Linked DNA regions of Callithrix jacchus. The protein of the gene in region 1 purifies or fractionates together with the protein of each later gene. This does not show direct contact. Links are inferred from orthologs where the notes say so. Each region holds a gene or a part of one and is shown on either strand. Other genes may lie near its edges. The genes, in order: CD19 and CD81.

The links.
Region 2: the proteins of CD19 (region 1) and CD81 purify together in Homo sapiens (affinity purification with western blotting, with the first as the bait; 3 studies listed by BioGRID). This does not show direct contact. The link is inferred for Callithrix jacchus from reciprocal best matches to the Homo sapiens genes CD19 and CD81.

What each region holds. Positions count from the first base shown.
Region 1 is NC_133513.1:29,024,357-29,026,983, forward strand, and holds the end of CD19 (B-lymphocyte antigen CD19 precursor), read right to left. Parts: coding exon 2,528-2,627; intron 2,395-2,527; coding exon 2,290-2,394; intron 2,209-2,289; coding exon 2,140-2,208; intron 2,039-2,139; coding exon 1,982-2,038; intron 1,895-1,981; coding exon 1,838-1,894; intron 1,006-1,837; coding exon 913-1,005; intron 810-912; coding exon 718-809; 3' UTR 705-717; downstream 1-704. UniProt on the Homo sapiens protein: Functions as a coreceptor for the B-cell antigen receptor complex (BCR) on B-lymphocytes. Decreases the threshold for activation of downstream signaling pathways and for triggering B-cell responses to antigens.
Region 2 is NC_133511.1:129,491,794-129,496,187, reverse strand, and holds the start of CD81 (CD81 antigen), read left to right. Parts: upstream 1-1,317; 5' UTR 1,318-1,546; coding exon 1,547-1,612; intron 1,613-4,394. UniProt on the Homo sapiens protein: Structural component of specialized membrane microdomains known as tetraspanin-enriched microdomains (TERMs), which act as platforms for receptor clustering and signaling.

The DNA.
Region 1 (2,627 bases):
GCCCAAACCTCTGGTGTAGAAACCTGTTCTGAGGAACTCATAAATAAAATAGAAACTTGTGTAGCCTGTAATACTGTGCCAGGAGCCAAAGCAAGCTGGCCCCAGGGGTTGTCAGTAGGGGCCCAGGAACCCAGGAGACTGTCATAGGCAGGAGAAACACAAAGAAGTCAAAGACCCTGGCCTCAGCCTCCCAAAGTGCTGGGAGTACAGGTGTGGGCCACCGAGCCAGGAAAAGGCCCTTTGTATGCAGAAGGCAGCCCTCCCTCCTCCATGGGACTCAAGATGCCTTCCCTTCCCTTCCCACACAAGGGCACTACTTCATAGGATTGGAAGAGCTCATTGAGTTTATTTAGGAATGCAAAAGGGACCGGAAGTGTCACTGGCATGTATACACACCACACGCACATGCACATGCACGCACACACGCACACACATGCACACATCCTGAGCAACATTGCTCCAGAGGTTGGCATCATATCTGCTTGAGGTCTTCAGATTTCAGAGCCAGGTGTGAATCTTGGGGACCTGAGGAGATCCAGGCTATGCAGAAGAAACAGTGATGAGGAGGGTTCCAGCAGTCCCTCCCCCTGGCCACCAGGCCCTAGGAGCCCTGTTCCTTCTTCCTCCCTGACAGCCAGCACCACTGCCATCCCTGCCTATCTCCCTCCCTCCCCCCTTTCCCTAGGGGCAGTCCCAGCTCACCTGGCCACCTGAGGATCACCTGGCACCCCAGGTGCCCACGTGGCCTCCTCCTCCCCAAGGTGGGTCTGGCCTATCAGGATTATCCATGTTCTCATAAGAGTCTGCATCTGGACAGAACCAGGGAGGAGGAGAACACGGGTAGCAATGGAAGTAGGCTGGGAGGTGAAGTCAGCCCAGGGGACAGGAGGGGACAGCAGCAGAATCACCCACCTTCCTCATGATTGGGTCCAGGCTGGCCCCGAATGGAGCGGAGCTGGGGGGCTGAATACAGGATCCCTCTCATATCCTCGTAGGACTGGGACCCTGCTTGGGCGGAGATGGATAATTGGAGGCTTGGGTGTGGAAAGTACAGCCTACGGTAAGGAGGGAGACTGGGGGACAGAGGAAGGTGAGGGGCATCACCCATGCTGTGCTGGGAAGGGGTGATTCGGCCAGCATAGGGTTTGGGGCCCTGGTTAGCTATAGGTTCAGCTTTAGGTATGGGTTAGATTATGGCTAGAGAAGAGGTCAAGAACAGAACTGGCCAGGTTCAGTGGCTCATGCCTGTAATGCCAGCATTTTGGGAAGCTGAGGCAGGCAGATCACCTGAGGTCAGGAGTTTGAGACCAGTCTGGCCAACATGGCGAAACCCCATCTCTACTGAAAATAGAAAAATTAGCCAAGGGTGGTGGCAAACGTCTGTAATGCCAGCTACTCACAAGGATGAGGCCTGAGAATCACTTGAAACTGGGAGGCAGAGGTGGCAGTGAGCTACTGCACTCCAGCCTGGGTGACAGAGTAAGACTCAGTCTTAAAAAAAAAAAAAACTGGAGGGAGTCAGAGTCATGAAGAAGCCACAGAGTGAGCTGGGGTCCAAGTTTCAGTCTGCACTGGGGCTGAGGTGAGGCAGAGGTCAAGTCCAGGATGGTACTGGATTGAGATCCGTGTTGACATTCACAGTTAGGGAGGGGGTAAGTACTCGGGGGTCAGGATGGGGAATGGGGATCAGTGTTGAGGATAGAGTTAGGAGTGAAATCTAAGGTCAGGATTGGGTTTGGGTTTGGGGTCAGAGGCCGGTCAAAGTTGGGTCTGGTGTCAGAGCTGAGTCCCGGTCACCCAAGCTGTGTAAGGCAGTCTGGTGGCAAGCAGCTCTCACCCAGGGAGGTTGCTTCCCGGCTGGGGTCCCAGGCAGACCCATGGGGGCTCAGGAAGTCTGGAAAGGGAAGAGGGGGTTGCTATTCCTCCTGGCCTCCAAGCATCCTCCACCTTCCCCCTGCACTGTTACCATCCTCACACACACCCATTGTCCTGGAGACTGGCTGGGTCAGCTCTTCATCCTCGTTCTCATAAGACTCAGCTGCGGCAGAAGAGAGAGAACTCCAGGGACCCCTTCTAGGGGTATCACAGCACTGCAATTACACCTAAGTCTCTCAAGGTCCCACAAAGGCCCCAAGTTACCATTGGAGAAGGAGTCTTCATCCTCAGGACCCAGGGGCTCGTCCTCAGGGTTTTCGTAGCCGCTGCCATCTGGTGGAGAAGGAAGAATGTCCATGGGTGTCCACAGTTCACCACAGAGAAGTGGAGGGCCACGGGGGAGGGCAGCCTTACCCTGGGAAAGCTGGTCCTGCCCAAGGCTGGAGTCGTTCTCATAGAACTCAGAGCCCTCCTCACTGTCCGGCTCCTCATAGCCCTCCCCTTCCTCTTCTTCTGGTCCTGGGGATTTGGGGATGGGGATTGGAACCGAGTCAGGCCCCCTCTCCTCCCTGCCCCAGTCCACTATTCCAGCCACAGACCGCTCCAACCCCCTCCATGTGGGGAACGACCCCTCCCTCCCCCAGTCATTCACCCGCTCCCGGGGGGCTCCGGGACCCCACGGTTCCATCCGCCTCGACGTCGCTGCGCGGGTTTCTATAAGACGGGGCTGTGCCCCCTAGGCCCGCGGCCCA
Region 2 (4,394 bases), on another chromosome or scaffold:
CTTCGAAACAAAAAGAATCCTTGAAGACTCTCAAGGGATCATTTAAGAGTCTTTTCTTATAATGTCACTTCGACTGGCACAAAACGTAAAACTAGGCATAAACCAGTGCTTATGTTCTTATGCAGGCATGAAGCCAAAGTCAGTTTAAAAAGTAACCACCAAAAAAACTAGCAGAGCACAGCCGATTCCAATAGAACCGTTCTGCCCACTGTGAGCGCTACCGGCCACCCAGGGCCACGTGAATTTAAATTACAATGAAACACAATGAAAGATTCAGTTCCTCGTGGCCACATTTCCAGTACCCAGTAGCCACTCACGCCAGGGGTTATCCAGGTACAGAACATCCCCATGGTTGCAGAAGGTTCTATTCCACAGCGCTGGGTTGGACGACATTTGCTAGGACTGGCTGGCTAGAGGACCGGTTCTCCGAACCTTGTCCCACGTGGTTCCCAGGTAAGCTCCCCCCCATGACGCATCTGCGTTGTGGGAAACCGTCGGTGAGTCATCTGCTGCAAAAGCCTCCGCTCCTTCATCTGGGGAGAAGCACCCCTCACTCTGAATCATTAGCCCAAAGCAGTGAGTGCAGCGTGCCTGGCCCCACACCTTCCGGAAGGCTGGCATCCCTGGGGCGCGACACACCAGGGCATAGATGAAATAGATACAGTATTTGGAGGTTCTCCTGCAGGTGGCTCTGGCCTCCCAGACACTTCACACTGGTTGGGAGCCGCCCTCTCAGGCCCCAGTGACCTTTTCAGATGCAGACTCCCGCAGCATGGGTCAGCAACTCCCCGCTTCCATGGGACAGGGATTGGTTGCCTCTACTAGGACCTTCAGGCCAACACCCACTTGCTAGGGGGCCTCATGCCCAGGTTCCAGCCCCCGAGAGCAATGTGAGCAAAGCTTGCTGTCTTTGCAAAGCCAACCGCTGCGGCATCACCTCCTTCGGGGAGCCCGCCCGGATTGTCCAAGGTGCTTGAGAGAGGGAGGAATAGGTTGCTCTCCAAGCACCCGGGCTGCCCTCCTGGGCAGAGGCTGCATGCCTGTCCCCAGGCGCGGTCCTGCTGCCACCCTCGGGGACTCCGAGCGCGATAGCAGCCCGGGGACGCCTCCCGCGCCCAGTGCGGTGCACCCAGGGCCCTGAGGTCCCGGCCGAAATGCTCCGAGTTGGGGAGGTGCAGCGCCCCACACACCCCCCGGCTGCGCGCCCTGGCGGCAGGAGGCGGGGCAGGGGCGGGGCTGAGGCTGGCCGGGGCGGGGCCTACGGGGGGAGGGGCCGCGGCGCCTTTAAGTGGTGCGGAGCGGGGCGCGCGCCCGGCCAGAGAGCGAGCGCGCAGCTGCGGCGACAGCGGCGACCCTAGCGCGCATCCGGCGAGGCGACCCCACCGCGCATCCTCCCGCGCCCCCCGCGCCCCCGCGCCGCGTTCTTCGCGCCCCAGCATCTCGGCCCGCCAGGCCCCCCTGCCGGCCGCCCGCCAGGCCACGCGCCGGCCCGCCCGCCGCCCAGGACCGGCCCGCGCCCCGCAGGCCGCCCGCCACCCGCGCCGCCATGGGAGTGGAGGGCTGCACCAAGTGCATCAAGTACCTGCTCTTCGTCTTCAACTTCGTCTTCTGGGTAAGGGCCGGGCCGGGGTCCGGGGTCCGGGGCTGGGGGCACGCACCCCACCTCGGCTTCCGGCAGGTCCCGCAGCCGGGCGCTAGGCCCCGAGGGCGCAGCGCGGGCCGCGAAGTTGTGGGGCCACCTGTGGGCTCCGGGAGCGAAGTGGGGGTTCGCCCGGGGCCGCCGCGCCCCCCGACATTGGTGCTGGGGGCTGCGAGCCGAGTTTCGGGGCCTCTGTGCGCGAGGGCCCAGCACGGCGGCCGGGCGGGGGTTCTGGGGGCCGCCGGGCAGTTCCTGCTAAGTGGTGGTGATGGGTGCGGTGGGCGCGGGCCTGGATCCGAGTACCCGGTTGCCCCTCAGCTGAGCAGGGGCACGCGGGGTCCGCTGGCCGCGGATTCGGGACCGTTGCCTTTCGGGGACGAAGGGGGGGGCTCGCGGGCGGGACTCCTGGCGCCCCGCCCCCATGAGCTCATCAGGGCCGCCGCCCCTGGATGGTGGGGCGGGGGCGCACACTTTGCCGGAGCCCTGGGGCCATGCGCCTGACCCACTTCCCGGCCCAGCTTACTCTACAGTCTGCTGTCAGCACCTGGGACCTTCCTGGGGGTCGCGCTTAGGGAAGGAGCGCAGACACCCTCCGGGATGGCCCAAAAGCTGGGGTGCACGCACCCTGGCGGTCCCTAGCTGGGGGCCGGTCTCCCGCTCCTCACCCAGACACGTTCCAGCCTAGGCCTCTCCCCAGAAGGGCTCTGGAGGCCTTGCGGGAGTTGGGTCCCGCGGCCCTCAGTTGGCACAAGGAATATAGTAGCGCCAGGGGCTTGGAGTGGGTGCCAGGGTCTGGGCGTGGGCCCGCTGCTTTAGAAAGGGGCCCCCACACTGGGCATCTTTGGGTGCCAACGTAGGTGAAGGAGGGTCTCCCGCTGAGGGTGGCTTTCTCCTGCCCGCAGGCTTTGCTGTTGGGAAGTGACTGACGGGCTTTCGCCTTTTGTTTCCATTTCCGCCACTGTTGGAATTGAGGAGGGGGTGGAAATCCCTTCTTGGCCTGGAAGGACTGGAGTGGGTGTCCATGGCCTTGGCTTCCCTGTGGCCACGCCCCTGGGCAGAGATTGCTAGCCCCTCCCCTTGCCTCCCCCAGGCTGTCACCCCCTTCTCGTGGAAGACTCGGCTGAGGTCCCGGTAGAATGAGTGTTTCTCAAGTTAAGGCAGAGAGGGCAAACTTTTAAAATGGCCCCTGGAGCCACTGTGCGGGACCAGGGACATCTGTTTTCCATCTGGAGGGCTAAGGATCCCAGCACGGATCTGGGGCAGGGAGATTATTTGGAGGGAGAAGGACAGAGGCTGGACTGAACTCTCAGCTGGGAGAGGAGTGAGGCAGTCACATCCCACCTTCCCCAAGGCTGTTCTGCATAGCCTGCCCGGGACACTGGTGGGAGTCACCCCGTCCATCGGCTCTGCCCGGGCAGTGGGGGCAGCGAGGCTGCCTGGGAAAGGGTTACCCTCCCCAGGCATGGCCCTGGGACCTCGGCAGGTCCTTAATGATGGCCTGCTTCTGGCTGGGCAGGTGGGAGAGGCCCAGGACCCAAGGACATCCATCCCTCTGCTGGCCCTGGAGCCCCATCCCCTGCCGAGGAGAATGTGAACCTGGAGACAGGGGCTGAAGGGGGTCGGGGAAGGGGACTTCTCCAGAGGCGGACTTTTGCTCTCTGGATGGTGCGTCAGCGCTGGATGAGCCCCTCCTGCCTGCCCAGGCTGAGAGGTCTCCCTGGCAGCCCTCTGGGAGCGTCGCCAGGGCGGGCCTGGAAGTTTCCCAGGCAGCTGGGGTGGAGGCCTGATGTATCCCAGGGGTGCTCATTATTAAGCCTCAAGGAAATGGTTCCGAGCCCTCGCCTCTGTGCTCCCGCAAAGCATTGAGAACTGGTTCCATCCACAGTTACTGTGAGCCATCCATCCACTGGGGCTCTGCGGTAGCCAGAAATGCCAGGCTGGGTGATGGGGGGCTGGTAAGCACCACCCTGCGGGAGCCCCCTCCACCCTGGCATCACAGGGCGTGTGGCTGAGGGCACCGTGCCATGGGCTTGGGCCTTCCCCGTCTGCATTTCGGGTCCTCAGTGAGCGTGCCTTCTGGGGTTGCTGGTGGGTTCCCTGACATGCCTGAGTGCTGGTGGGGGCCTTGGTGCAGGAAGGGCTCAGGGCATGGGTGTTGGGCAGGGCTCCAAAGGGACCCCAACCTCAGAGCACGCAGTCTGGCCAGGCAGGATGTGCTGTGCAGAGGGGCTGCGGGACCCCTGCAGGGCCCAGAGGGCACAGTGTAGTCCTGTGGGCTCAGGTGAGGCTGGTGGGAGTAGGCTGACAATGGGTGTCTGGATGGACACTTGTTAAAAGTTCCATTTTAGAGAGGACCTCTTCCCCAGGAAGGAGCCCACGCACACACGAACATGCACTCATACACACATACACGCATTCACACTTGCTGTCCCCCTCCCCAAGCCAAGGTGCAGGGGTGGGGGGGGCCAGGCATTGAGCAGGTGTGCCCTGACTGCTTTGGGGCCGGCGAGAACTGGGCTCCCTGGGTGCAGGGCCAGCCGGTCCAAGTAGGAAGACAGTGCAGACACCCTGGCCAAGCATCCCTTCCCTTGGGTGGGTCCGGGAGCCACCATCAGAGGTGGCTGGCACCCGAGACCCGCTGCTGTCAGGAGCAGGGCAGAGGACTGACCTGTGGGAGCCTCAGCTTCCTCATCTGGGAAATGGACATAAGAGTCTTCTCCTCAGGGGCTGGCCAGGGAGCCTAGGAGAGGTATTG